2 linked regions of the Schizosaccharomyces pombe genome follow. Changing the gene in region 2 together with the main gene of any one other region gives a genetic interaction. Each region holds a gene or a part of one and is shown on either strand. Other genes may lie near its edges.

Region 1 (16,098 bases), on a different chromosome or scaffold from region 2:
GGTAACACATCTTTTCCTGTTGACAGTAAACTTGCATTCCAATCCTTGGATGTATCTCAGCCGGATTTGCAAGCCAAACAGAAGATTGCATCACAAGTCATGAAACATGGTTTAAAACCAGAAGATCTCAAGTTACCGCCTTCTAAGAAGAAAAAGATAGAAAACTTATCGACAGTTCAAAAACCTAAGGATTCAGTCGTAAATACTCCTGATGTTATAATGTCAAGTGTAGATGAAATACCTTCTAGTGTTTCTCCAGGTACTATAGCCAAAGAGGAAGGAATGGCTAAAGCTCGGGAAGAAGCAATTGCTAATCCTTTGAAGTACGCAATCGATGCATTTGTGGCTGTAGACCATGAAGAAGAAGTTTCTGCTATCAAATCATCACAGACTCCTAGTTCTATTTTGAAAACACCTCAGTCGTTTTTCATTCCTCCGTCAACTCCAGATTTATCATTTACAGATAACAAAAACTCACTTAGTCCATCTAATATTTTGTCATTGGACGGAAAATTTTCATTTAATGATGATTCGGAGCTTTGGGCTGATTTAGGTAATGAAATCAACTCTGAAATCGGATTTTTAAAGGAACCAGATACCATGAATCTTGCTTTGGATGCAGATAAAGATAAGACTAAAATGCAAAATAAGCTTACTCAAATTAATTTTGATGAATCATGTTTTCTAGATCCAGCGATCGACGATAAAGATCCATGGAATGAAATGCTTCATGAAAAGAAAGTTTTGCTAAAGCAGCTTCAAGTGGGTAACGAAGATGAAGACAACATCGCATTTCCAACATCTACAAACATATGGCAAGTTGTGATTTAAAATTTTGTGATACGATGGTTCGCAATTGTTTTTTATTTATTTATTGCACGTCGTCTCAAAAAGCAAATTGGACATATTTGTCCTTCTACAATATCTTATGAATACCATAGACATATATTGTTTCTCTGTTTATTCAACGTTTCTCCATTTTTTGAAAGCATCTGTTATGTTGAAAATTGTGATTGGGAAAAGGTTTGTATAGTCCTTGTGTTTATATACAATGATAAAAATAGAACCTGAATTTAATATTTTGAAGATCCGGTTGTACCTTTATTAGGCACAATGCCAGAAAGTATGGCTTTTTCCCGATTAATGACCTGTCTATGAGACTCATTGTGAACATGAAAATGTCGGTATAATGAGGACCGTTACAAATTTTATTTATTCATACGTTTAAGTTGATTTTAGTTAATTTATTATTAGTGCACCGGTTGGTGTTGAAAATTAATTTGTAATCTCTTAAATGAATATTTGTATAGTTTTTAATGTTTACTATCTCAAATATTCTAAAAGTAGCTATCAGTTTATGTTTTTGCTTTGGTTCAAGAGCTTTGGTTTAACCTAACCGCCAAATAGCTATCTCGAATTACCATCTAACATGAGAAAACAAATTAATATTTCAAAACTCCCGATAATTTATTGAGCTTAATAATTAATTAAAATTTACGTATTATTGAAGTCAATAAAAGCTTTCTTTGTCTTCCATGAACAAAGAAACCTTGTGATCTCAGTCTTGTATATAACACGCTAACTCGTGGCCTACTGTAAATAAAAGTTATCTTACTAACGATATATTATTTCTTGATTCATTGAAATAAGAATCGTAGGATTTAACAATAATTGAATACAGAGATCTCCTAGCTTCATTATTAAGTACAAAATAGTCAATTAATTTTTTTATCAAGCAGATTAATTGCTTTTAAACTTACAATGAATGGTATAAGGAAAAAACCAGCAACCTTGCAACTCCATAATATAAAAACCAGCTGTTTCATTGATGGCAGTGATGATCAAAGCGATAGAACAAGGTCAAGTTCTGGAGATAGCACCTCTAATTCACTGAAGCTATCACATCATATATCTGACGAACTGATCAATGCCATATATAAAGAGTTAAAGTCGCCAGTATCACCTTGGGACAAAAACATTTCGCAGCATTCGCCATGGCTGTTGGAAGCGGCATCGAACTCCATTGGTGATTCAAGTCCTTTACTTTCACCAATCTCTCCATTAAAGTTAAGATTTCATAAATATTCGGTTTCGAAACAGCTAAACAGCGTTGGAAAGCAGGGTTTTGGTCTTTCTTCAAACCATAGTCGTTATGCCTCACCATCCTCCCCTGCACGGCTTGCAAGAGGTGCACTTGGTGAGGAACTTAGCAATTCGCAATACAGATTAGAATGCGCCGCAATTCAGAAGCTTGTTGCTCAAAAACGAGCCAATAGAAGGAGTAGTAAAAGCACTTTAAAAAATTCTGCAAATGATATAGAGTTTTTCGATATTGAAGAAGTTTCCTCTCGCAAGGGACTAATAGACAGAACACCTTCTAAAAGAAATGTTACTTCCCGAGTTTCTGATGCGTATTCTCGTCTTAAATCTGCTGTGAAAGGCGAATCAAGCTTGTCCTTTAAAAGAAACCGATCGAAATCGAAGAGGAAAATTCAGCACCTGGGTTTGACTGAGTTTAATGGGTGGGAACACCATCAGTGCGACTGGCTATAAAATAAGTGTTACTCAGATGCTCCATGTTAGGCTACATGGTGCTAGCCATGTGGTAATTAACATTCATTTATTTCCTTCATTACTTTCTTCCTTAGTCCTCCTATCTCTTATTAGCTGGAAAGCTTTTATCATTTGCATTTTTCTTGTTAATTGGTCTTTCATTTATCTCGTCGTGTGCATTGAGATTTCCTATTTAAGTTTACGACTCATATTGTTTAATCTAATTTATTGTTTGTTTCTAATTATTCTTAATTTACTACCATAAAATTAAATTACTTAAAATTGGATACGTTCTATATGGTATGCATACGATTGCAATAAATCTTTAAAAGCATTACCCACTAAAATATTATACTATGTAACTACAAATTGTAGATACCTTCTGAAATTGATGATGTAAACAACATATTTAATTATATACAATTCCTTTGCGCAGATTTTACAGGCTTTAAAAGCGAGTGAAGATTAATTTTATATATTTGTAGTCCTATTACGTTCATAAACAGATTTCTGAAACATTAACATAAACTGGGTGCCACAAAACTAAATTAGTTTAATCTTCTCATAACATAGATTTATTAGTATGCACACTGTGAATTATGAAACACTGACATTCAGTAGCCAAAAATTCGTAAATTATTAAATATCTAGTTTCCAATTTTCTACGTTTTTATTTGAATGTGCAGTTAATCTGTAAGTATTTCCTTGTTGTTGATTGTGACACTCTTAGTCATATTCGCCGTTTTATAAATGCCAACCAAACGAGAAGATAACTCAAACATATTACTTCTTAAAGAAATAACAATAAACTGCGCGTTTTTAGTTCTTTCCTTAATGTAATTCGCAACAATCGAAACGTTTTTAAAGTCTAATGCAGCATCGATTTCGTCCATAACGTATAAAGGAGTCGGTTTGTAATTATGTAGAGCAAAGACAAGGGCTAGAGAACTTAACGTCTTCTCTCCTCCCGAAAGGTTAGATATGTTCTTCCAAGATTTTTTGGGAGGCATCACACTAAACAATACCCCCTCAGAAAACGGATCCAAACTATCCACTAACTCAAGCTCTGCGTTTCCGCCCATAGTAATAATTTGATACATTTCTTTAAGCTTCATAGATATAATTCCAAATCCGTACATAAACTCATCGAGCCTCTGAGATTGAAGATCTGTAACGACTTTTTTCAAATCGGTTCTTTTTTGCAATTCACTTTGGTAATCAGAATCACGCTTTTCTGCTTCCTTGTTACATCTACGATATTCAGACAAAACATTGATATCTACTTCTCTGTCTTCAGTTTTCTTTTTCAAGACTGAAATATTAGAGACCAGCTCGCTTTTATCAACTGAACTCAGTTCATCTTCAGAATATTCGGGAAAAGTTGAGTCCATTGTTGTCTGGTCACAAAATTCAGTCAAATTGTGTAACTTCAGATTTGACATGAGCTTTAAATATTTATTTTCATTATTGCCGACCTCTGATAATGCCGTACGCTGCTCTTGAATTTGATTTTCCAATTCAATCCTTTCTGCTTTAACGGAATTCATTTGCTTAGATTCAAATTCAATAAATTTTACTAGTTCGTCGATAGAGGAATTGATGTCCCATAGAGCATTTTCAAATTCGCGGAGCCGAGATTTGTGTTCATCCACATACTTGTTTAACGATTGTAGTTCAGTCTTTAAAGTGGCTATACTTTCAGTAGTTGTATCGTACTCGCTAGTAAGGTTTGATAGTTCAACTTGGAAAGATTGACTGCGTTGCTCATTCTTCTTCTTCTTGAAACTCATTTTGTTAAGCTTGTCTTTAACAAATTTGAGTTGCTCATGCAAATCGTCGACCTTTGATTTTTGTATACGATATCGAATCCCACCTATTTCCATGATCTTATCTTGTAACGTCTTAATTTCAGTGACAAGGCCTTCATTGTTAATATTTATGGCCTCAACTTCCTTGTCCATATTTGATATTTTGTTTTGGAGATTCCGTTTACGTTCATTGTTGTTTCTAATACTTTTTAAATCGGATTTAAGCTGCAAGATTCGCCTCTCTTCTCCAGCTACCAATCTATCACAAGCAGAAACGTCAAGCTGCAGCTTTGAAATCTCTAGTTCCGCCGATGGAATACGTTCCGAAATTTCAGTAAATCGCTGATTAAGGCTCTCCAGCTCACTTAGGTGTTGGCGATATCGAGTGTCTTCTAGTTGCACTTGTTTATCACAAGTCTCAACTGAAGCCGGCGATACATCACTCGTTATAGCTGAGGACATTCCGCCTTTCTTTACTCGAGTACCACCTCCAGTCATTGTGCCCGATTTATCAATTAACTGACCACTTAGTGTAACAACTCTCCAACGTGTTTTGCCATACGCAATTCTATTAGCCTGTTCCAAATTTTTAGCAACTAAGGTATTCTGCAAAACGTTATAAAACGCAGGAGCGAATTTCTGATCATTAAACCGAAGTAAGTCGAAGAGCCGGGGAACATTCTCAGGTGTTTGGATACGAGCTAAATTTTTCTGCGCCAGTTCTTTGAGAATAATAAAACTAGCACGGCCTAGGTTATTGGAGCGCAGAAAAGCCACACATTTCTGTCCAGTTTCAATATTGTCAACTACAATATGATTTAAAGCAGGACAGGCAGTTGAAATGGCCACATCATAAGCCTCGTCAATTGTAGCCAAATCACCAAGACGTCCAAAGAAACCATTTAAATTATCAGATTCATGAAGTCTTTGAAGACTTTCTAACACATTTCCACGAGATCTAGAAGAACTTAAAGAAGCTTTCATCTCCTCCAACTTTGTTCTGTTTGACATAAGATTTCGGTAAGTATTGTGAACAGTTTCCTTCTTTCTTTCAATGTTCTTACTAACATCTTTCTTCTCTCCTTTTAGGTCGGAAAGCACTTTAAGCTTAGAAGACAGGATATTCCGATTTTCTTCTGCATCATTACGCAGTTTATCAAGCGAAGATTGAGAGGACTCAACATCGTTAATTAGATCATTTTCTTTATTTAATAACATATCCAACTCAACCTGTAAAATTTGTTTTTCTGATGTCAATTGGTTTATTTTCTCGAGGGCGGGAGCCATAGCCTTTTGCTTTTCTTCAATAGCATTTGAAATACCTTCCGTTTTTCCCTGTAGACTTTTCCTAATGTCATCCAAACTCAATTCTTCCTGTTGAAGTCTTAAACTGAGATCGGCAATTTCAGAATTCAACTTTTGGGAATCAATATCATGAGAGCTTAAAGAATTTTCTGCTTCTGATTTTTCGAATGAAAGAGCCTCAATGGATTTCTTTAACTTTTTTTCTTTATTAAGTAAAAATTTTAACTGCTCTTCAATCTTCACAGTCTGTTGTTCATAAGACTGGCGAGTTTTCTTCTCTGAAGTACAATCGTTTTTTACTTTTGCTGCCTTTTCACGCAATGATTTAACCTCTTCATTTTTTTCCGAAATATCTCGCTCGGTTTGTTCAAATTTCTCTAAATGTGCTTGTAATTTTCCTTCCAAACTATTAAGCAAGTTTTGAACTAACGTCTTTTTATTGCGTGTTTCGTATAGAATAGTACGGTAAAGCTGATTCTGTTTCATAAACAACTCATTTTCGTCTTTGAGAAAAGAAAGAACCGAATTTTTGCTATCTTCTAATTTCGCCTTTTCAGAGAGCACCAGTTTTAAACGAGATTCTTTCTCAGCACAGATATCATCAGAATTCGAAAGTTCTTGCATATTCTCTTCTATAATTGGCTTATATTTCGAGGTTCCGATGATATCTTCAAGATATTCAAGAAGACCATCATCACCTTCTGATATAGCCCGGGGCTTCATTTGCGCTATTGATTCGACTTCTCCTTGAAGAATTAAAAATCTCTTATGATTCAAGTCTATTCCTTTCTCCTTTAAAAGATTAGAAACTGCAGAAAAGGAACTCTCAACCCCATTTACAAAGTATTTACTAGTATTATTTTTATAAGCAGTACGACGAACTGTTAGTTCGCTTCCATCAACATAAGTAAAGTCAGAGTTTACCTCTTTAAAAGTAATTTCGACATCACAACTATCGAGAGAAGGATGAGTTGCAGATTTATGAATTAAGGCAGACGCTTTGGATTGCCTAAGTTTACTAGCACGAAAACCGAAAACAAAAAGTAAAGCATCGATAACATTAGATTTCCCAGAGCCATTTGGTCCAACAATTGAAGAAAAAGAAGGATGAAACGGACCCACTATCTGAGTTCCTGCATATGATTTAAAATTTGTTAGGCGTAGCTCGTAAACAACCAGTCTAGGAGGAAGAACCTGAGTGGTTTCTTCACAATTCTCAATATCCTCTGTAGTAGTAAATTCTGACACAAGTTGTGAACTCCGTTCATTGAAACCTGTTGATTTAGATGGAGTGCCATCTTGAGCAGACATAAATTTGTTGAGCAAATTAGGGCGTTCGTTTAAAGAATCGGTAATTCTTTTTTTTAAAAAGTCATTGAAAAATGGGCGAGATGGTGTTTGCTCTATCTTGACAATTGATGCGACATCTTTCTGAGAAGGAGATTCTAGCACTGAGCGAACCAACTTTCGTGGCCTTTCACCACGATCTGGCGTAACATCCACAATCGAGGGTGTTGAAGACGTTCGAAAGATGCCCTTGTCAGACATAAAGATAGTATCTTCAACAAATTATATATTACTTAAAATTCTAAAAGAGTGGGTGGTCGTGAAAAGAGGTGTGTTGTTTACAACGGTTGAACAGCATTTCACCCAACGATGAAGTCAATTAATGAATAAAATATACAAAAACCCACAGTTAAATTACACTAAAGCCCATGTTTATAAACTAAAGACTGAAGTATAATTGTGTAAACAGGTCATGTTAGATGAAAATGATCTATTTATTTTATACCTACACACCTGATTTAAAGGAAGACTTCAAACATCTTTTTACCTGTAATTATAAACTCATGTGTCTATTATACATTAAATTATTATGCTAGTCAATTTGGTATTCTTGGACGTTGAAAGTTAACTCAAAACGAAAATTAAGTAAAAGAGAATATTGCTCTGACACTTTACACTAGCAAAATATTAAAAGGACGAGCAGAATACATTGCTGTTTCTAAGTTTTTACTAGCACAAGCAAACATCCTCTTTCAATTCACACAATAAATATAAAGCTCAAAGATTTTTTGTTCTGTATTCCTTCATTAAATCTAGCAAGACGACGCAAAAATTTACCTTGTTTGGGTAGCCCTATGTGTGAAATAACCACGAATAAAGAATAATCAGTAAGTAATATAAATAGATTAGCTCTTTAAATGAAATGTTAATGCAAGGAAACGATTTGTCCAAGTTTTTTAGAACAACTTTTCAAATTCACTATTGTTTTGTATTTTTTTAGCTTTAAACTTGACAAGCCTTTTGCCATATGTTAATTTAACCCAAAATTCTTACATTTTGATTTAAACTAATCAAACGCAAATTCATATCTTCAAGCAATTGCAAGTAATTTATCTTTAAAACATTTAAATCTGTAAACATAGATTATTATATGCTATCTATGCTCACTTGATAACTTAGCTAAACTCTTCCTTCTTTATTTATTTATTTATTTTTTAAACAAAAACTAACAAGTCCTCTTAGTTTTTATTTATTTACGTTAAGTTTCTTTTTTTTAGTAAATAATTCCAAACTTAAAAAAAATTTTATAGTGATAAAACCTAGCAATGGACTTTATAATAATGATACTTTAGTTAATTTTTTTGTTGTTATTTGGTTATATCTCTATCACTAAACTACATATTTATTAACTATTAACTATACTTATAATTAAAACTCTTCTGAGTCTTAAAATAAAAAGCATATAGAATTGATATAAAAGATATTTAATATCTAAAAAAAAAATTAAAGGGTTGGCAATACATTTATCTAAATCAATTTGGTAATGCATTGGATCATCCAGCAGCCTGTTCCATCTTACTACTTTAAAAGTTTTTCTGTTAATTAGCATTAGATATAACGATGCACTCGCTCTGTATAACCCAGGAGGTTAGTTTTGTTTACCATCAATTCCTTCTCGTTATTGCAACATAGCGATGCCGCATATCAGATCAAAAAAGCCGCGTGAGTTTCTGTCCTTGCAGTTCTCCTTTACAATTAATTTGGTAGATGAAGGTGTTCTTACGGGGAAAACGAAGTAGCTAAATACTATAAAACATGATCCTTAATAGAAGAATTCAGGTGATTCTCCCTACCCTACTAATCTTATCGTTTATTATATGGATCTTTCACAGTGTTATGGTAGACAAAGATTGGCGTCTGTTTATGCCTGAAATTAAATCGCTTCCGGATCGAGAAGGTCAAGGTAGAAAACCAATTGAGATGATGTCCACGAAGCACGATAATAACACGAATAATTTAATGGTAAATGCATACTGGAAGTTAATTCATACGGTTGTTTCCAATTATCCAAACAGACCAACATTAGATGAGCGAGATATCTTAAGACATTATCTATTTTCTTCCGCTATTACAATGCCATGTGGTGAATACTCTGTGGAACTCCAAAAGATACTAGATGTACATCCTCCACAAACAAGTTCTCGAAAAGCAGCAACTACGTGGGCTTGCAAAGTACACAATCAATTAAATGAGAAAATGAATCAACCAAAGACATCATGCGATGGATTTAATGAGAGATATGTAATCGGATCGCCGACCTATCGCGAAAGCGAAGCTGAAAATGTTCCTGAACGGGTACAAGTAATTAACGAAGATCACGACTATTCTGGTTGATAACAATGGTTAATTTTAAGAATTCATGTATTATTAAAAAATATTACCGTCTATCATGCAATGCATTTGGATGTTAAGCTATTTATTTAATGAACCCTAAACTGATATGTTCAACTGTTTACCACCGTCATTTCCACTCATTATTCAGAAATGTTATATCGTTATGCATCAAAGTTATATTAGAAAAAACATAGAAATCACGTTACGGCCTTAACATGTTATGTCGGCTACTATTCACACGATCTGCCAAGCTTACAGAATCACCAGAGTAGATCTCTTTTCTCATATTTCTGATAAAATCTCCTTGGTTATCCCATTTTCTTGCGGTATCGCGTCTCTCTTTTTCCAAAAACTGTTCTTCATCTCTTTCTTTCTTTTCCAATAGTTCAATTTTTTTTCTTCGTGACTCATCTAATTCCTTAGCATTGTCTTGCATTTTCTGTAAACGGCTTTCTATATCGGTATGCCTTTGAGTGATAGGTTGCGAGTCTCGAGAATGAAATTGGTGATTTCGAGTCCTGAAATCCGGAGATGGTGAACGAGAATATTGTCTGCTTGTTCGCACATATTTTTTTAGGTCTCTTTCATCTTGAAAATGACCCTGATCAAAGCGCATATCATCATCGTAATGTTTCTTGAAATAACCAGAGTCATATTTATCTCGATGCCGATAGCGATCATTGTGTGTGCGTTCTCTCCAATTATTTCGGTCATTACGGTAGCTTCTTCTTGAATGCTCCCTTTTGTCAGAAGAATGTTGTTCATTATCTGACCTTTCCCTGCTTCTGTCTTGATTGCTTCGATGATGACGATCGCGGTGCCGCCGTTCTTTCGACTTTCTATCAGAGTCTAAAGAGTATTTCCTTTTTTCCATAAGCGTTTGTAGTTGTTTTTGTTCTTGTTGCTTGATTGCAAGTAAAGGATCTAGTCGCAACTTTGCCTGTGTGTCTTGTAGGGAGTTCGCGTTTTGAAGAGCGATAAACTCTGTTTTTTCTAATGAATTATTTTGATCCTCTATCTTGTCCTTTAAAAGATCATCTAGACGTCGCCTTCCAAGCAAATATTCTTCCATTTCTGAAGAGTCACGATTGGGTCCATTCGTGTTAGGAACTGCATACATCCACTCAACTCTGTCTTTTCTTTTTTTTCCACCAGCAGCTTCTTGTAGCCGATGTAATTCCAATAGTTGACGTTCTTCTTCAATTTCTCGCCTAAGTTGCTCGACTCGCTTCATCTCTTCTTTGTGAGCTTGCTCATCTTTCCAAACTTTTTCCTGGTTCCTCATTAGCAGAGGATGCCTAATCATAATATTAGTAAAACATCTTTAAACAATTATATTAATGCAAATAAATCCACTTACCAGCTTTTCTTCATATTTAGATCTCCACCACCCATTTTGAATTACTAATAAGAGTTGTTTAAATTTCAAAATAAAATTGAGAGGAAAATCCACTAATTGTTTTATTTTTAGGATTAAAAACCACAATTCTCAAAAAGTGGCTATTAATACAAAAAATTGAGTCTCGCTTTACCTGTGACTCATAGTGTTTTGCAAACATATACACTAAATTACTTGGGTAACATGTTACCCAAGAATAGAAAGTCAAGCTTGCGAATTCTGAGACCAATCAATAATAATCACGTTCAGATTTCTTAGTATTTTAGCTATAACTAAGTCATTGATAAACGTAAGTTCTATTTCACTTTAAACTGATTAAAAAGCAATGTATCATTAAAAATCCTACTTGATTATGAATGTGATTTTAAACAAATTGGTATACAGCATGAAAACATGGGTTGAAACTTAATTATATACTGGAATAGAATATGTGAATTCAGTCCAATAAGTTGCATATTATATACTTAATCCATTCAAAATCAATCAACATTTCTAAAATGAGAAATGACTAAGTTATTCTCCTTGGCAAAACGATGGTAATTCAGCAAGCAAAGTGTAATTTACATAAGCTATGCATTTAATGAAAAGATTAACAATCACGTTTTTTATTTTTTTTTGTGCATGGAGACATGACAAACTTCAACATCAACTTCACTGGATATTAGTAATGATATCCAGAATTTTTGCGCTTCTGAGAGCCTATCATTATCGCTTTTAACTTCTGAAAACATAAATTTTTTTTTAGACGGATTCCACAAACATAAATCAGGTATCCCGCTAGAACTATTTTTATAATCTTGGGTCAAAGCAAGAAATATTTGGGCGAGTCCATTATCGTTGATACAATCGACAATTTCAAGAAGCATTTCGCAAGTATACGACCAATTAAGACCTACACAAAATGTTTTTCTTTGGTGCTCTCTGATATAATTATCTTTTATAATTAGGCCAGCTTTCCCATTTCTTATTTCCTCAAGTCTTTTCATGATTGTCGATTCTCTAGATATATAAAAGGAATCAGTGTGCAAATCCAAAGGTGCACTTTGAAACGGAGATTGAAAAACACCAGGAACGTCCTCAAACAAAATATCCCAGAATGTCAAAGCAAACAAAGTTAGCAAAATGCTGCTTTCAGCATGTATACCTTCCCACCCAATCGATTGATAATGTTGAAGAGCAAGCTCTTCAACTGTGATAGCATTATTAGTCTTGCTACGCCAAACAGTCCGGTTTGAAAGGTCACCGTTATGTATTCGTTCACCATGAAGAAAAAGTCTTGAAGGATTATTATTTATAAGTTTCATGCTTTTTAATTCGGTAGTATTAGAGACTTTTAAACACTTCCGTAAGCGAACAAGTCTCCTTTGTAAGCTAAAGTAATATCTGAGGTGGGTATACTTGTCTTCAATACCATTTTCACAAGTTGATAAAGCAAGCGTTTTCCAATAACGCAAAACGTTAGTATCCTCAGTTTTAAAGTTGTATTCCAGTAAGGCTTTTCTATTATACCAATGTCCTCTTTTACCCACCAAATATATATTTTGAGATAAAAGGGTATCTAATATTTCATGTTCAACCTCAACTAATCGCGACTTCGCGAGAATATTTAGACTTTTATGTATTAAGTATGTGTAAACAGCACCAGGACGAAAGCTAAAAGAAAACCTTACCAATCGAGTATCTACTTTTCTATTTTCTTCCACCCAAAATTCCCTAATGTCTTCATTTAGATATGTCGACCATATAGGATATATTTCAAAAAAACTGTTCAACGCTTGTTCGAGTGCTTCCTTATCCGAAGCGGCAGTGTTTTCAAAGATTGGAACCAAGTTTTTTGAAAGTTCTAAAACCTCAACGTATTCAAGGCATTGAGCACGACAATTAAAGACGTTTGAAGTTCGCGATAAAACGTAATTCGGGTAGGAAAATTTGTTAAGGCGTGCTAATATTAAAGACGTAAGCGATTGTTCATCATAAATGGACGAACGAAAGTACACAATATTAATTCGATGAAATAGGTCTACTAAAATTTTCTTTGGTTTCACACAGGATTTGCATTGATATAATAGTTGCTTCCGAAGAAACGACTCTTGCTTATGCATCACACCAAAAGCATCAAAGGACAAAAATTGTTGACCATTACAATGTAGTACTGATTGTCTTTTAGATAGGAAAATGATTTCTTTTGAAATTTCAGACCTGCTTTTTCCACACACCTTCGTTTGTCTAGCTAACGAACGCAATTCATCGAGAGATAGAATTTCAATTATTTCTTCAGTTGACATGAGTGATTCATCTTCAAAAAAATTTTTCAGAACAAGCTGCTTACAGCAGGCAATAACATCCTTGCAATCTGGATAAGTCAAATGGCCCACGCGGAACCATTTATTTCTTTTACGCATGAATAGACGAACAAACAAGTACCGTTCATCCGAGTCTAAAGCTTTAAAGTTTTCAATAACCCTCAACTCATCATCAGTAAAGATATGCGGTTCACAATCGAGGACGGTGTTTAGGATTTCTTCGAACCCCAGCAGATACATTGAATTTTTAGTAGAATATACATTGTGCTTATTAGTATTGGCAACTTGTCCTTTAACTGTTGTCTCTGGTGCTTGACATACAACTTTTAAGGGAGGGAAACATAACTTGTTCTCGTTTACCCCAGATTTATCTGGAGTGTTTATGTCGCACGCTTCATTAAAGAATCGTTTCATGAATTTTTAGATATCACAGCAGCGCGACTGAATAAGTGCACAAGATGATGGCCGTAAGTAAACAAATATTTAAAAAAAAGAGCGGCTTTTACAACAATGGAAAGCTAGTATGAAAATAAATAATAATAAATTTTGAATGAATGTAAACGTCTTCTTGTGTAATAAAGTAAATTTTTAAAAGATTGAACATACAATTTAAGAGCATGGATTTCAAGGATAAAATGAGACAAACATTAAATCTATCGTGGATGTACTGGCAAAAAAAAAACGAAAATTATTGAATTTCATGGCAGCTGTAAATTTTTAAAGATTGCTTTAAAAGAAAGCCATACAATCAAATACTATGGTCAAAAGAGAAAAATTCGTTAAAACTTAGGAGAATGGTACTAGGGTAAGGACAACAGTTTAAATAAATGCTTTTGAAAATTTAACTGCATTCGTAAGTTACAGTGTTGTCTATAATGCAAGTTTAGCGAAAGTTGCTATTTGAAACTAAAAAGAAAATGTAAGTCAACAACGTTGTGCTTAAAATTACGACGCTGGCGAAGTTACTACAAACTCTCACTACCTTAACTTAGTAAGTCGAAACTTTTGACTAACCTTGGGCGTATCACATAAAGAAAAAATAAGTTAATTATTATTGTTCATGTTATAAATTTTTTTTAGCAAGGAATCCAAGAGCATTGACGCGCATATCATTTCATTAGAATTTGTACTTTTGTATTCCCTACTTTCATCAAAGTTTTTTCCGGAGAATTTAAGAGTTCATTTTAATAAACGAATTTCTTCCCTCCCTTCTTTTTTGAATAATTTTTTAAATAGCCTCATATTCATTCACTAACATGGATTTGTCTTCCAGATTATCATCAGGTTCTTCACGGATACCCAAGCGACACAGAGATTATCGCGATGAAGAACCTAGACGAGAAAGAGGTTCGGGTGGGATAGGAAGGGAAGACCCGAGAGGCCATTATGGCTCTGAACGACCTAGAAGACGTCGCCGAGACGAAAGTGATTTTCGTAGACATAGAGAATCTCGTGAAAGAAGTTATCGAGAGGATGAGAGGCCAAGAAGAGAAAGAAGATATGATGATTATGAGCCTCGATCATTACGTTATTCATCTGTCGGAAGAAGTAGAAGTCCACCTCCCAGCCGAGAAAGAAGCGTAAGGTCTATCGAACAGGAACTCGAACAATTGAGAGATGTAACACCAATAAATCAGTGGAAAAGGAAGCGCTCTTTATGGGACATTAAACCACCTGGTTATGAATTGGTTACTGCTGACCAGGCGAAAATGTCTGGTGTTTTTCCTTTGCCAGGCGCTCCTAGAGCTGCAGTTACTGATCCAGAGAAATTGCTAGAATTTGCTCGCTCTGCGGAAGGAAGTATTATTGCTCCCCCTCCGCCCTTACAACCAGGTGCTAGCAGACAGGCTCGTCGACTAGTGGTTACTGGAATTCCTAACGAATTCGTTGAAGATGCTTTTGTATCATTTATCGAAGATCTATTTATTTCAACTACATACCATAAACCCGAGACAAAGCATTTCTCCTCTGTCAACGTCTGTAAAGAAGAAAACTTTGCTATTCTTGAGGTCGCTACTCCTGAAGATGCCACCTTCCTCTGGGGGCTTCAGTCCGAATCATATTCTAATGATGTCTTTTTAAAATTTCAAAGAATTCAAAATTACATCGTCCCTCAAATTACCCCCGAAGTTTCTCAAAAAAGAAGTGATGATTATGCCAAGAACGACGTTTTAGATTCAAAAGACAAAATTTACATTTCAAATTTACCTTTAAATTTAGGCGAAGATCAAGTGGTGGAGCTACTTAAGCCTTTCGGTGATTTATTAAGCTTTCAATTGATAAAAAATATTGCAGATGGATCTTCGAAGGGTTTTTGTTTTTGCGAATTTAAAAATCCTTCTGATGCGGAAGTAGCTATCAGCGGTCTTGATGGTAAAGATACGTATGGGAACAAGTTACACGCACAATTTGCTTGTGTAGGTCTCAATCAAGCTATGATAGATAAGTCTAATGGAATGGCCATTTTGACAGAACTTGCTAAGGCGTCATCACAATCTATTCCAACTAGAGTCTTACAATTACATAATTTAATTACTGGGGACGAAATTATGGATGTACAAGAATATGAAGACATATATGAGTCTGTAAAGACCCAATTTTCGAATTATGGACCACTTATAGATATAAAAATTCCTCGTAGTATTGGCACTAGAAACTCGGGATTAGGAACTGGAAAGGTTTTTGTACGATACTCCGATATCAGATCTGCAGAGGTCGCAATGGAAGAGATGAAAGGTTGTAAATTTAATGATCGCACGATTGTCATTGCTTTTTATGGTGAGGATTGCTATAAAGCTAATGCATGGTGATTTCAGTTTCAATGAAAAGGTTAGTATAATATCTTAATGTTAGGGTAATAATATCAGTATTTCTCATTGGATTGTTTAAAGTGTAACAAAGTACTCAATTGTAATGAGCGATTGTGGGATGAAGTAATTCTTGCAAGCATTTCCCGTTATACGCTTTTTATCATCGGTTTAATTTACAAGGTTCGTTGTAAGGATTCTTAATATATGTATTTTTTGTAAATTGTTAGTCACTATCGTAT
Region 2 (16,098 bases):
TTGGCAAGAGAGAATAATCCTTGCTTTCTATCAATATCATCCTCATTATCTGAGAGGTCCTCAGCTAAAAGGTTAGCTGGCTTGACTTCATTAAATGTTGGCTTTCTTGAAGATACAGCAGATGATTTGAGTTTAGATTCAAAGTTTCGTTTAGTCAAATACTCCTGCTTTAGTTGCTCCAGCATTCCCATGCGAGGGGCACTTGAAGATTTAGTAGTATTCTGTTTCACAGTAATTTGAGGTGTAGGACTTGGCTTTATGACATGTGCACTATTAGTTAGTTCTGTTTGTTTCTTTGTTTTTCGCATTTCCGAAAGTCGGTGTTGCTCAAGTACAGTCTTTGCTTCAGGGCTAGCCTGAGTCAAAACATTAGCAAGCTGTTTACATTGATCGGCAGACAAATGTGCTTTTTGCTTTCTAATGATAAAATCTGTAAGGAAGGTAACGGTGCGATCCTCGAAAAGGTAGTCAAAATTCGAAAATTTAGTGAAAAGCTTGCATAAACTATTGATGACAATTCCCCTTAATTCTAAATCGTTTATTTTAAGCCACATAATAAAAGAGAACAATGATTCAGAAGTTTCGCCTAACAGAATCAAGCTATCAAACTTAGCAAGGAGCTTTATGAAGATTCCGTCATTTTGGAAAAGATCATCAACAAACTTAAGTGTTAGTTTCATCAATGCTTTAACCGTATCAGCAGGATTGTTAAGCGACCATCTGGCAACGTTGGAAAAAACTAAATCCAATATGTTCCAGATGCACTGCCAATAAGCACCCAAGGTAGGTATGTCATTTTCTGTGAAAGCAGAATTGTCAGATGATAAGGATTTATTAGTAATGCTCAAAAATCTCATAATTCGAAGAGCAGGAAAGAAGCTTAAAATAGATTGCCAGTTAAGAACAGCATCAGCTAGACCATGCACAATTCCTCGAAAATCCATTGCAACCAGTTTTTTAAGAGCCTCATTCCTGTTTTTAGTGCAATTGGTAATTATTTGGACAATATGAAAAGCACTAACATAGAGCGGCTGAGTAGGAGATAACAGAAATGATACAACTGTGTCAAATTTTGAAGAATCTCCCAGCATATTTGAAATTTCAGTAGACGACTTTTCAGAAAATCCTTTTAAAAATCCACTGATATATTCCGACATTACTTGCCATAGTTCAGCAAACTGCACCATGGTTCCAGACGGTGTAGAATTTTCGGATATTTCAATATCGTGGGCAAAGCAACAACTTGAAATTTTAGAGAAAAGGACGTCAGATATTTTTTCTTCCTGTAGATTGTCAAGCTTCCAAAAAGGAGAGAGTTCATATGAAGGATCGAAAACAAATGAGGGATTTTTAGTGATTGCCTTATGAGACCAACTTATAAATGCAATGTCATAAAGTAAAGAGTGCAATCTGAGTTTCAGCATGTACTCCGGATAATCTTGTAAAATAGTGATGCTATTAGCATTCATCAACGATAGTGTATTGTTAAGAAATGAAGGAGAGCTGTAATCTAGCGATAATAGATCAAATAACGCATCCAAAACCGAATAAATGATGAAACCTATAGTACGCTTCTCTTCTACAAATCCTTTAAGCCATTCCGGAAAAACACTAACAAAGTCATTTAAACATGTGCGAAAAAATGAAGCAATAATGTAAGCCCAGTTCATGTCAGATACTTCAAAAGGTGTAGCTGTAACATTTTTTAGCAAGTTTTTTAAGAAAGAAGACACTTCCTTAAATGAATCAGCGGCAGACCAAAAGGATGAGGAATTGCAGCAAATTCGAAGACAGGACATTTGTTGAGAGGATAGAGATTCAGAAGTCTTTACCAAATTTAAAAGATAATCTTTTAAAATGGACTCACATGCAGCAGTAATGGATTGTAAAGGAAGAAGTTCTAAAAACATGTAAGTACGTTCCCAAAATTCAGGACTACTTATAGACACGAAATTACAATCACTGTCAGAGGAATTTTGACTTTCAAACACTACAGTATTAAAAACGGCGTCAACTGTAGCAGAAGAAATTCTTATTTCAGTATTTTCCTTAAAAAAGCTATGAACCCATTCCAAAACATCGGGATGGGAAGCTTCATAGAAAAATAGTAAATAACCAGGAAGAAATATATTAGAACACCAATCTGAAAGTAGACCATTAAATGCATCTATTGCATTTTTATAAATATTTTTACAGGTAAACAATTTAGGATTCAAGAGGGTTTCGAAAATTAAGCAAGGCAAAGACGTGAAGTCAATTGTTTCATCCTCCAGGGCCTTGAAGTCCTCTAAGACACGGATAATATCCCATTTATTCCACTTTTCCTGTAAATCGGTAATTGAAAACCCAGTAAAAGAATATGAACCTTTCGCAAGGGATTCATTTCGAAGTTCATAATAAGCTTGTATACAAGAAGTACAAGAGCGTAAACGCTCATGATAGGCATTTAATACCCATTTAAAGCTCGGAGTTTCATCATGTGCAAACCAAAAGAAGGTAGGTTGTATATACTGAGTCAGTAGTCCTGAGCAAAACCAATGCTGACCCTCTTTACTAGACGATAATTTTTCAAAACAATCTTGATCGCTAAGATTCTCCGCCATTTGTAACAATCAAATTTAATATTTTTTTAATGTTATGAAGTAAATAATATTTTTTTTGGAAATTTCAACCTGTTTTTCTGATAAAAGAGTGAAAACAAAAAAACAAACAAAAGAAATGTAGGTAAGTGAGTATTGTCTCTTTTTTAAAGACTTTTTTCTAATAAATGTATGATTAAATGGACCCAAATAAACGTTGTTTCACCGATAGACCAAAAACCCAGGAAAAATCTAATATTGCAAGTGCCAAAACCAAAACCCTAATCCAGACGTAAATCGTAACGTAAATAAAATTTTATTTACAAAAGATCTCAAGAATAAAATAACAAATAACGTTTCGGACGCTACAGCGATGAGAGGAGACCTTTTAACACTATGTGAAAGTTAAAACTTTCATAAAAATTTCATAACTCAAGGAAATTTAGAAGAAGAAATATATTGTTATGAACAGCTCAAATCGCCAAGAAACAAGACGTGTTTCCAAATCTCTATTCCAAAGGGCGTAGTTGGTTCCTCCCAAATTCACCAATACTAAGGATTTGTTTACGTTATTTACTATGAGGGTACAGCTAGTTACATGTTTCTTATTGTAAAAAGGCAAGAAGTAATTTTATTACTTTATTTTATTTTTTTTCTTTAATTTATATAAGTATAATCACAAAACTGCTTTGCAACCCAACATTACAAAGCCAGATGTTTAACGCAATGGAAAGAGGATTAACGAATTGGTACACATCAACTCCAACCGAGCGCAAAAATAAATCCTCCACCAACTAACACATACGACCATGTCTGAGCCATATGACCCATATATCCCGGCGGAGCCTTCTGCAGCTGTTCGTAGTGGAAATGCTGCTGCTTCGTCGACGCCGAATATGAAGACAGCTGCAATTCAGCAGCAGATTGACGATACTGTGGGGATTATGCGTGAAAACATTTCTAAGGTTTCAGAACGTGGAGAACGCCTTGATTCTTTACAAGATAAAACAGGTATGATATTTATTTTTGTTAACAGTTAAATTTTTTTTTTGAACGTTTAGCTAACTTCTTTAAGATAACCTTGCTGTTAGCGCGCAAGGCTTCCGTCGTGGCGCCAATCGTGTTCGCAAGAAGATGTGGTGGAAGGACATGCGTATGCGTCTTTGCATTATCATTGGTATCATCATTTTACTTGTTGTCATTATTGTTCCTATCGCAACAAAATTTCATGGCAAGTAAGAAGATGTATCATGTAGCTTAGTCGCATGCCGAGTCAAAATATTTGCTGTTTGAATACTTTTTTTTCAAGCGTATTTTTGTCTCTGGTTTTTTTCTTCCTTCTCTCTTTCTTTCTCTCTTGCCTGACACAACAACCTATAAATCGAATTTTAAGAAAAAAGCTTCTGATGTAGACAGGGCCACTTTTTTTGCAAAGAGATAACGCATTTTTTCTCAAGATCCTTTATTCGTTTTTATTTTTCTTGCATATACATACTTGATGACTGACGGGTCAATGATAGTGAATACCAGGTTGGTTTTTTGTTGAGCAATTTGGTTTTGGCCTGTATTGCTTTTTCCTCTTTTCTTCTTTCTACACCTCACCATACATATCATGGGCCTTGCTTGCTTGACAAAGGAAATCTTTATGGATACAAAATTATCATTACTTTCCGTACTTAAGATGGTAAATAGAATTTTTGTTTCCTTCTCGGTATTTCTTTTCTATTCCGCTCTTTATATGGATAACCCTATAGCATAAAGATGGATAATGTTTTAATGTATACAGATTAGCCTCGATATTCCATTTGTCTACGGCTTTTTTCTAATTCTTCAAAAGTACTTAGTACGGGAGCAAATTTGTTATCTTATTTTCATATTTTTCCTTTAGAAGCTAGCTTCTTTTTATACTGATTATTGCACTGATAGGTGTATTAAAAAACCACTATTCTTAATTAATTTTATAGAGTGAAATGTGTAAACCTGATAATTAGGAAATATTTTTTAAGTTTGCTCACACGTGGTTTTATATCCAGATTAACAATTGTATTATTTTTCGACTTCTATTTTGCTCAACAGATATTGTGGTCTAATCCTTCATTCGTGTAGTATTTTAAATTTTGAATGCAGCACGGTTTACGAATTAAGATATATTCATCAACTGGGTTCAACAGTACTGCATTTGTTTTTGTTTACTATCAATGTAACTTAACGTAATTTAGAATTTAATTGTATCAGAAAGTAGTATATTTGCTCCCCTTAAAATGCTTTAGTCTGAAGAATAGATAATAATAGCCCAATATTTTAATAATTTAGATGATTGAAAAAATCAACAGATTTTTTTGTAATATTGTTTGTATGAATTCTCGTTGAAATATAATAATAAACTACATATATTAAATCGTTCACTTTTACTGAGTGATTGAATTAAATATATCTTCAAATATTTGTATATAATTTTAATAAATTGTAATTGTCTTCCTTACTAGAATTACGCTTATAATGATACTAACCAGAAAATTTAAAAAATATATAAGTTTGATATGTAAATAGATTGTGAAAAACCAGGGAATCACAACAACTCTTGATATTTATCAAAACAAAGATGATTATAACCTACATTTTTACTACGGTTCCTTAGGTAACAAGTGCTACCTATAGTTAGAAGTGTAAGAGTGCTGGTTAAGGTAAACACTCCACCACAACCAAAGGGGATTATCAATAATAGCATCTAAAATGGATGATACAAATCAATTTATGGTGTCTGTGGCCAAAATAGATGCGGGAATGGCCATCTTATTGACACCTTCATTTCATATTATAGAATTTCCATCCGTGTTGCTGCCGAATGACGCGACTGCAGGCTCTATAATCGATATCTCTGTGCATCACAATAAAGAGGAAGAGATAGCAAGAGAAACTGCATTCGATGATGTTCAAAAAGAAATTTTTGAAACATATGGCCAAAAATTGCCGTCTCCTCCTGTTCTTAAGTTAAAGAATGCTACTCAGACTAGCATTGTATTGGAATGGGATCCTTTACAACTCTCCACTGCGAGACTCAAAAGCCTTTGCTTGTACCGTAATAATGTTCGAGTGCTTAACATATCTAATCCCATGACTACTCACAATGCCAAGCTGAGTGGCTTATCTCTCGATACAGAATACGATTTTTCCCTTGTTTTGGATACGACTGCGGGAACATTTCCCAGCAAACACATTACCATCAAAACGTTAAGAATGATAGATCTCACAGGAATTCAAGTGTGTGTTGGCAACATGGTTCCCAATGAGATGGAGGCTTTACAAAAGTGTATTGAACGCATTCACGCTAGACCAATTCAAACTAGCGTTCGTATCGATACAACTCATTTTATCTGCTCTTCTACTGGGGGTCCTGAGTACGAAAAGGCAAAAGCTGCCAATATCCCTATTTTAGGTTTGGATTATTTGTTGAAATGCGAATCTGAAGGACGTTTGGTGAACGTTAGTGGTTTTTACATCGAAAATCGCGCTTCTTACAATGCTAACGCTTCTATTAATTCTGTAGAAGCTGCGCAAAATGCTGCACCAAATCTCAATGCTACAACCGAACAACCGAAGAATACCGCTGAAGTTGCTCAAGGTGCTGCATCAGCTAAAGCTCCACAGCAAACAACCCAACAGGGAACTCAAAATAGTGCAAATGCTGAGCCATCTAGTTCAGCTTCTGTTCCGGCTGAAGCGCCTGAAACTGAGGCTGAGCAATCAATCGATGTTTCCAGCGACATTGGTTTACGAAGTGATTCTAGTAAGCCCAATGAAGCTCCAACTTCTTCGGAAAACATCAAAGCGGATCAGCCAGAAAATTCTACAAAGCAGGAAAATCCCGAAGAGGATATGCAAATAAAGGATGCTGAGGAACATTCGAATCTGGAAAGTACACCTGCTGCCCAGCAAACTTCCGAAGTTGAAGCTAACAATCATCAAGAAAAACCATCTTCTTTGCCAGCCGTTGAGCAGATTAACGTGAACGAAGAAAACAATACCCCGGAGACTGAAGGACTTGAAGATGAAAAAGAAGAAAATAATACAGCCGCTGAATCTTTAATCAATCAAGAAGAAACTACCTCCGGTGAAGCAGTTACAAAGAGTACTGTTGAATCCTCAGCGAATGAGGAAGAAGCTGAACCTAACGAAATAATTGAAGAGAACGCTGTTAAATCTTTATTGAATCAAGAAGGACCTGCAACTAACGAAGAGGTTGAAAAAAACAATGCTAATTCTGAAAATGCGAATGGCTTGACAGATGAGAAAATAATCGAAGCCCCTTTAGATACTAAGGAAAATTCAGACGATGATAAGCCATCTCCCGCAGCAGCTGAAGATATTGGTACTAACGGTGCAATTGAGGAAATCCCTCAAGTTTCTGAAGTCTTAGAGCCAGAAAAAGCGCATACTACTAACTTGCAACTGAATGCGCTCGATAAAGAAGAAGATCTAAATATTACTACAGTTAAGCAAAGTTCGGAACCTACGGCTGATGACAATCTAATACCCAACAAAGAAGCAGAAATTATACAATCTTCTGACGAGTTTGAAAGTGTAAACATTGATTAATGACATTGATCTCTTGTATTCTGCAGTCTTTTTTTTTTCTTATGTTTATATGTTAACATTCTACGAATATCCTCCACTTTTCCAATCGTTTGACTAAAGGCACATGGGAACCATTTTGAACTGTAATGCTCTGGTATCCTTGCAGTCTTCTAGACCATGGAAGTACATCTAAACTCATTTAGCATTAGTAAATATATAGCTTCGGATTTTTTTTTCGTTCTCTAATAAATTTTTTTTTTTAAATTAAATCAACTAGGTCAAAAATGGGTAATGGGAGGTTTTGAAATTATGTTTCATTATACTGATAGACAGAACTTACAATATCGTAGTTTGAAATTCGTGCTGGCGTCTTCTTCCATATGTATCAATGATTCTTTATTTTGACCTTGGCAAAGCAAAGCGAATTGCCATATATTCGGAAATATCGAGTATAAATATTCTATCCTTTCAATTGAAACTTGAATAAGGCTGTGTTTTAAAAATCTAGCATGCTCACAGTTTGAATCAGTGCATACAGGTGTTTGAGTATAAATCGCGATTTGGGTTAAATATTCTACTTTGTTTTGTTCAAAAGAAATAAGCGTCGTAGTTAATAAATGCATTTTGTTTAAATCAGTATCATTTAGGATGGGTGAAAGGATTTTTTTTTAAAACGCGTCGTTTGTAGAAGAAGAGGTGCATAAAATATGAACACACCACATATAATAATAAGAGGATAGACATTAAAGCCAACAACCTATTAAAAGTGTAAATTTGAAATCAAAAAAGATTAAAAAAAAGAATAGGAATCGACTTCTTTTACACAAAGAAATCCACACCTATTTGATATTAGCTTGGACATCCTCTATTGACGACTGCATTTTCTGATAGCACAAACAAGACTTTTTCAGACTTAAATGAAAATTAAATAAACCAACAGTGGGTTTTTTAGGGAAACCTAAAAATTCAGAGAATCTTAAGCAAGTTCTCTGTTTTGCTTTACATAACAATCTTTAACGCCCACAACGTTGTAAAGATATCACCTATAAAAATAAAAAAATTACGCTTTTGAGGAATAGATGTGCTTTTTTATACATATGTTTATTCAAAATACAGCTCACTGTCTTAATCTGCTAAAGTAGTAGACCTTGTTTACCTATCATCTTTAGAGTGCATTAAGCAGTTGTTAAGCGAAAATTGCGTCATCTATTAGTGAGCCTCTGTTTACAAGTTGACGGCTGTTTATGAGTTTTGAAGAAGGAATCCAAAAATAAATTTGATTTTCACTGAAAATCTATGAAATAAATATGTAGCGACTAATCATACACAACAATTGTATCAAGTTGCCGACATAAAAATACCAGCTGGCTCAACCTTTATAGATACTTTTGAAGAGCTCTTATAAGCATTAATTAATGTTCGAATGATGTAGTTATTGCTTAAAAAAAAGAACCGCCTGGCGTTATTCTCGAGTAAAAGTAAAATCAACATGTGCAACGAAGGAATGGATGCACTGACTGCCGTCAATTTCTCTCAGCCGTCCTCCCAATAAAAATCATTAAGACATGTTATTAAAAACATTAAAAGGCATACCAACGGGTGTTGTATCTTACAAATCACCTCATGGGATCTGTTTTTTGTCAAACTACGGCATTACGCCTTACAAGAAAAAATGTAGAGAGTGAAACGAAACTGAATTGGGATGATTCTTAGCATTTAAAAAAATTGTTTTTGTCTTCGAAGCACAAATTTCACATTTTCTCTTTTTTTTCAAATCCTTCCTGCTTCTTCCTTAGTAAGTTGCGTTACCCGTAGTGTTACCTGCTGTCGGTACAATACATCTCACAGTAAGCATGGTTTCCACTCCACACACTGTACAGTCGCCTGCTTAAAGTAAAGTAGAGGTTGTGTTTTTTGTGTTGTATCGTTCTTCTCTACATCTTTTTGTTTGTATCGGGACAGGAAATAGTTTGGGAAAAATCCCCCACTAAGAACAATTTATCCCACGGACTGTTAATATATGACAACAGGTAATCCTTCGCAAAACATAAGCGTAGCATGACCGAGCAGTCTTCTAAATCTCATCCATCCTTTATGTCTACAGAATATTCGCTTCCAGTCTTTTCTTCACAGTACTCTGATATTGAGAATAAAGATGTATTGAAATCGAATTCTTGGGATCCATATGCCGCTAATGCGCCGATTGCTTTGTCTGAGATCCCTTCATCTTCTAAATCCGGAAAAACAAATGGTTCAAAAGCCGCTGTGGAAAGCGGTTTGGCATCCGGCGCTTTCGGAAACCGTACTGGGAACATGAACCGGAATACTAGCATGAGTGGATACACGTTCGGATCTTCGAATTTCGTTCCCTATAACCTTCTTTCTAACACTCCTTCTTTCACTACTTCTCACTCTTCATCAACAACTTTTGTTCCGCCTGCGACTATGGGCGGTGGATTGAATAATTTGTCATCTCCATCTTCTTCTTTATACTTGCCTGGCTCTGCTTCATACCAAAGAAGTAACTCTAAAAATAGCTCGGCTTCTATCTTACAAATGAATACGACGTTAGATGACATCCCCATACTTTTACGTCGTCCTGGATTGTCTTCGTACACGCCCGGACCTTCTACTTCTCGCCGAAGCATCTCTTCGTCGTCGAATCTTGGAGGTAATCCTGGCTTGATCGCCAATAATCCTTCGGCTTCTAAAAACTTTGCCTTTACTTCAGGTTCTTCGTCGACTAATAATTCTACTACTTCTTCTTCATCAATGGCCAATGGTCTGCAATCTATTTCAAAGCATTCAGCGGCCTTCCCTCTACTTTCTAATGCCACTTCTTTCTTTGGTGAAAATTTAACTCCGTCTTTGGCTGCCTCAACGGCCAGTACGGGCAGTACTGACAGCTCTGGCTCAAATATCGCTAACACACTCATTGCTCCGACACCGACTATTTCTCCTCCTTCGGCTAATACTGTAGGAAATCCGAGTCCTGCTGATACCCCTGGGTTTAACGTGCCTAGTTTGATATCCGATGACCCTAGCGTGTCTTCCTCTCTCTCTTCTTCGGTTGCATCTCTTTCATTGCAAAATAGCAATATTCTTTCGTTCTGTAAGGATCAACATGGCTGTCGTTATTTACAGCGACTTCTAGAAAAGAAAAATCAATCTCACATTGACGCCGTTTTTGCTGAAACCCATCCTTATTTAGCTGTGTTAATGGTTGATGCATTTGGTAACTATTTGTGTCAAAAATTGTTTGAGCATGCATCTGAAGCTCAACGATCTACGTTCATTCAAATAATTGCCCCTAAACTTGTTCCAATATCGTTTAATATGCACGGAACCCGTGCTTTACAAAAGATTATTGATTTAGTCTCTTCTCCTGATCAAATTTCTTGTATCGTGAATGCTTTGCGTCCTAATGTCGTGCTTTTGACTAAGGATTTAAATGGTAATCATGTCATTCAAAAATGTCTCAACAAATTCTCTCAAGAGGACTGTCAGTTCATTTTTGATGCTATCTGTGAAGATCCGTTAGATGTTTCTACACACCGCCATGGATGCTGTGTCGTTCAAAGATGTTTCGATCATGCATCACCTGCGCAGATCGAGCAACTTGTGGAACACATTGTCCCCCATGCGCTCACTCTCGTACAAGATGCATTCGGAAATTACGTTTTACAGTATGTTTTGGAATTAAACAACCCAAACCATACTGAGGCTATTATCTCATACTTTTTATACAAAGTGAGAGCTCTTTCAACTCAAAAATTTAGCTCTAATGTAATGGAAAAGGTATGTTTTGTAGTAAAGTTAAAACAGAAATTTACTAATCAATTTACTAGTGTATATTTTTTGCTCCCGCTGCTATTAAGGAAAAACTGATTTCGGAACTAATGGATGAAAAGCATCTTCCCAAGTTACTTCGTGATTCTTTCGCTAATTATGTTATTCAAACGGCACTTGATAATGCGAGTGTAAAGCAACGCGCAGAGTTGGTTGAACGGATTAAACCACTTATTCCAAGCATAAAGAATACGCCCTGTGGTCGTCGCATTCTTTCAAAGTTAGAACGTCGTCATCCGAGCTCGAAAGAAAAGCCTATTGTGTACAGTAATTCTGAAAGAGTTAATACTTCCTCTTCAGCTTAAACGTTTCTATCGTCTGTAATTTGCATATTATTAAGGAGGACTCTCGCATTGTTGAAATCGCTCTTTATTTATTACCATGAGTATAAAGGCTTATCGCCTTTCTTTGTATATCTAGTATTAAAAGACAATTAAGTCTAGCCTCGAACTTTTTTACGACTTTTTAAATCTTTACAGTGAACGTATCATATAAATTCAGAATAGTACTAGGTACTTAAGAAGTTCATGCATTCTAAACGTTTTAGTTTATTACTTCTACTTAGCGTGGGAATCAATATCTATTCGATTATTCTACATATTTGAAAATAAACACAAAGGCATGATAAAGCAAAATACATTAAGTAACTTTATTAGTGAAAGAATGACATTCTGTTATTGAAGACCGACTCAAATCTTTCAAGTTATGGGAGTTAATACAATTATTTATAAATATTGGGCAATGGGGTAGCTTTCTTCTAAAGATTGAAGATTTTCGATATCTTCTTTTAAAAGCTTTGACTCAAAAACATCTCCTTGCTTTTTAATCCATTCGTTTAATAAATTGTGACTAAACCTGATTGTGACACCAATTGGAGCGTCGATATCTAATGGCAAAGGGATATTTGCCTTTTTTTGGACAAAAAATTCGTTAAAAGTATTTGGTGCAGTAGATGAGATATATTCAATTGTCAACAACGAACTTCCCTTCTTCATAGATGTAATGTAATGTTTATACGAAGAGTAAAGGCGCACCGCATTCTCACATAAATTCTGTGCATCACCGAGGGACTTGGCAGATGTTAATCCACTTGAGCTTTCTTTTATGTCTCTCATAAGATTCAATTGTGAGTGTCGTATCCTCATAACCTCGATATGAAAAATTTCACGAAATGCAATCCCGAGTAAAAGAAAAAATAGTCCTTGAATACAAGGATCCAGTTTATCCTCTTCTTTTATGAGAAACTGAATATACGCAGGGAGGGTTCTCCAGTTACTCGTAGTAGCGGGATGGTTTCTCGAAAGATTGGAAAGATTCTGTAGGTGAAAAGCAACTGTGTAACATAAAACAGCATCTACAGCGTACGCTTCGAAAAATTTTCCTTTCTTATCACATTCTTTCTTTTGCATTTTCCCACTGTTAAGAAGACGCATATACGTTTTCTTCAAAGAGGCATGATTTACTTCCGACTTTTCAGACAGTGAACCAGATGTTTTGTCAACATCAGCTGTGATCAGCTCTTGGGAAGAAGGATTCTTGTTTTTTACTTTTAAGCGCTTATAATCACCTAACGTTACATTGGCTTTTCTCTTGAGATTGCTGCTGGTGTTACCATTCAACGAGGATCCATTATTAACATTAGAATTTTCAGAATTTACAGTAGATACCATATTATTTATGGAACTGTTCGTGGAGGCCTTCTTTGATTTGTGAGCATCTTCAACTAGATTTTTTGAGCTCTTAGTGACTCCCATTATTACATCTTTTGAATCAAGGAGAATTGGAGAACTGACAGCTACCTCCCCTTCCTCCAACAAAGGTTTAGAATTACCTTCATCAGTAAGTTTGGAAGCGGTTAAAACCTCTGATGAATTTTTAAGCGTTTTGCTAGTACGTGTAGAATCGTTATCCAAGGGATGTAAATCGTTCTCTGCTAACGATGCTTCAGAGTCATCGCTTGCCATTCCAAACCCAGGAGGAAGCGTAGGGCTTATCAAGCTTGGCAATACCGCTTGGAATTTTGAATTCCCTACGGGAAGATGCATTTCAGGAAGAGTAGGAGTAATTGGAGATGGAAACTTTGGACGGGCTTGGTTGACTTGTTTTGGAGTAGATAATTCCTGTTCTAAGACGATAGAATCGTCCTTTTTCTGAAAGGAACCCTTAGGCAGTACTGGATGATGCCGACGACGAATTTGATTATCACTGCTGTCGTTGCTCATCGCATGCGCTGTATAAACTATTCAAATAAAAGTATTTACTTAAAAAAGAGATATGCTATGGAATTAAAAGATTTCGATTAGAAGACAACAAATAATGCCTATTATATTAAGAATTCGCGTCAATTAGCGCAATTACCGATAGCATGTAACTCGAAAAGATATGAAAAGTTTAAGAAAAGAAATCTTCACAGCATTTAATTTAAAAACAGTATGAATGTTAGCAAATTCAAATTAGTAACTGCGTTTCCAATAGCGAAAACCCGTTTGCCCACACAGCTAAGCATTCATTTATCCAAAGCCAAAAATTGCTAAATGCCGTCAAAAAAGAATATTCAAGCCTAAATCCCAGTATAAAATTACAACAGGCTTGGTTATAGGATTTTGGTGAAATTATGAAGCGTATTGTCGACAAGTAATAAACACGTTACTTCAGAACGCGCCCAACCTTGAGTAACAAATTATATATGTAAATAGTAAATTTGCTGAAGAAAAAGTGGATCAGAAAATAATAGCATGGTAAACACGATCGCAAACATGCTTCATTCTTTTGTACAGGAAGGAAGTGCTAGGCTTATAAGACATCTTTATAAAAATTCACCAACTATACATATTGTATTTATCTTGCAAGTGCTTTACCTATAGTAGGATTCCGTGTGAATATTTAAATTTAAGTAAATTTATTATTGTTTTGAAATTAAAGAGAATAAAGTTGACCTGAATACTGAAAAAAGTGTAAGAATGGAGAGGCATTTCGGGTAGTTTAACTTGAAGCGTAATGTATCATATTATCATTCCTTCCGAAGCTACTCAGAAACTGTTTCGCTACTTTCGTGGGACGATCGCCTATGTGAATCATCTTCACCTGCTGACTCGGGAGAAGCGTCTGCAGTTGGTGAAGCGCTCAATGCTTTCATTGGAAATTCTTCTTTTATCTGCATAAATTCATCAGAAACTGCAGATTCGTCAGTATCAGAGACTGCGGAAGAATTGACTCCCTCTTGCTGCTTTTGCTCGTCTGTCCCGACATCAGATTCATCCTCATAATTAATATGGTGGTTGTCTTCATTATCCTCGTTATTTCTTGCATTTTTAATCATATCTGCAAATTTCATTATAAGCTTTCGTTCCCTAGACTTACATTCTTCTTGAAGTTGCTCTGTATAAGCCATAAGCTTTTGAAGCTCGTTTTTTTGTTGAGCCATACTAGCAAGGGCAAGGTCCTAAATTTCAAATAATCAGCAAAAGAGAAAGAATGTAAAGTTTTTTTCATACCTTTATCGAATGGCTGCACTCCCACAGTACATCAAAATGTTCATGGTCTTTCAATGCTTGTTGTTCTAATTCAAACCAGGCAATACGTAAAGGGAAAGGATCAACGTAGTTGATATAAATCTAAATTGTTAGCATATTTAATTAATCAGCTCAAAAACGACTGGCAAAATGGGGTAGATGCGACGAACAAAAAAATTCCTTGGTTTGAAAGTCATCACACAATCAGCAATTCATTAACTACTACAGTATTGCAATAAACATACCCTACATAAATTCTCTAAAACCACTAATTGCAATGTGTGCTTTGATTCGGATCTGCCGCACAACAGATCCACGATAAGTTCATCGGTTAATGATTCTGAGGTTACGTTCCGTTGCAATCGTTTCCAAGGTATTTCATCTGGAAAATTAGTAAAAGAACGTTTTACACACTATCTTTCTATACCCCTTAAGACGTATCTACAGGTTGGGCTAATTGCGCACAAGAAAGCACTGCTTTCATCCAATTCTGAGCGTAGGACGAATTTTTCTCCTTTAAAATCTTTCAGTGATAAAAAAAATTTCATGAGTTGTTTCCTGAGCTCAAAATTTGATGTGAAACATCAAGGCGGTCTCAGTGCAAGTTTGCAGGGAAACGTAATAAGAAACTTGATAATCCAACTTGTTGACTGCTAATGTTTTAGTGTGCGCAGCTGATAAATTGGAAGCCGAATGAGTTTAAAATTTTAGGTTACTAAGAAACACTATCTTGAAAATTGTTTTTTTTTTAGATTTTTTTCATTGAAAGAAAAGAATCTTTCTGATTGAAAAATTGCTGATTCGGTGATATAACAAATCGTTTAGTATAATATAAGAGGTTTCCATACGAGAATATTGGATAAGAATCAGCGCAAATGTTTATACCATGTTTGTTAAAAAAAAAGAATTTCAAATTAAAGTAGTTAGCAAGAAGAAATTCGCAATGCAATTAGATGATGACTACTACAAGTTATTGAAAGTTTTTTAAAGTCAATTAAACTAAGGTGATTTCAAAAAAAATGCTTTCATCAATATGTGTTGGTTAACAAGGCCTTGTTTATAATATCATTTTTTCTCTTCGAGATTCAAAACTACATCGAGATATAAAACTGAGGTTTTTACATAAATGTAAAGGTTTATGCTCTGTCAAGGCTTTAGAGCTTTGCACAGAGACCACTGGTTATTAGGTACATTGCAACCTTACGAATAAACATTAATGATCGTAAAAAAAATATATAAGATACACCGAAACAACCTAAAATTGATTGCGAAGACTGAGTCCGTAAACCATATTTTCTTCCTAAAGCGACTTGAAAATCAATTAACCGCAAAAACAAATCAAATGGTAGAGTTTAAAGAAAAGCTAATCCTGTTTTTTTAGTAAATCTAAACCCAAGCTCGTCAAAAAATTCAGCATATTTAATCTTTTTTCTCTATTTAGCAAATGTGTTTTAAGTGCACTAGAATGCGTTATTGATTCAACTAGTAAACTGACTTTACAATATGGATATACAAGGCGTATGTAAAAAGATGAACCAGTTGAAGTTTTAAATGAAATTTTTAAATACTATATGCAATAAACA

Evidence for each region.
Region 1: of sen1 (region 2) and cut3, a mutation in one rescues a mutant of the other (synthetic rescue), as found in Schizosaccharomyces pombe (2 studies listed by BioGRID).

The regions. Positions count from the first base shown.
Region 1 is NC_003423.3:999,250-1,015,347, forward strand, and holds cut3 (condensin complex SMC subunit Smc4), read right to left. Parts: upstream 7,275-16,098; 5' UTR 7,215-7,274; coding exon 3,240-7,214; 3' UTR 3,014-3,239; downstream 1-3,013. Other genes in the region: mediator complex subunit Med15, read left to right, coding at 1-831; SPOM_SPBC146.02 (uncharacterized protein), read left to right, coding at 1,762-2,553; erv2 (sulfhydryl oxidase), read left to right, coding at 8,769-9,347; protein Cwf25, read right to left, coding at 9,550-10,645, 10,708-10,742; fan1 (fanconi-associated nuclease 1), read right to left, coding at 11,352-13,463; prp2 (U2 small nuclear RNA auxiliary factor small subunit, U2AF-59), read left to right, coding at 14,306-15,859; tif1102 (translation initiation factor eIF1A-like), read right to left, coding at 16,083-16,098. UniProt on the Schizosaccharomyces pombe protein: Central component of the condensin complex, a complex required for conversion of interphase chromatin into mitotic-like condense chromosomes.
Region 2 is NC_003424.3:3,264,923-3,281,020, forward strand, and holds the start of sen1 (helicase Sen1), read right to left. Parts: upstream 3,119-16,098; 5' UTR 2,604-3,118; coding exon 1-2,603. Other genes in the region: syb1 (synaptobrevin family receptor), read left to right, coding at 3,389-3,590, 3,655-3,818; CHS5-like protein Cfr1, read left to right, coding at 5,313-7,175; bouquet formation protein Bqt1, read right to left, coding at 7,228-7,343, 7,495-7,777; puf4 (RNA-binding protein), read left to right, coding at 9,213-10,952, 11,003-11,308; protein Ebp1, read right to left, coding at 11,729-13,225; protein Xrc4, read right to left, coding at 14,029-14,445, 14,498-14,617, 14,761-14,897, 14,943-15,063. UniProt on the Schizosaccharomyces pombe protein: ATP-dependent 5'->3' DNA/RNA helicase required for the expression and maturation of diverse classes of non-protein-coding RNAs like precursor tRNAs, rRNAs and small nuclear (snRNA) and nucleolar (snoRNA) RNAs.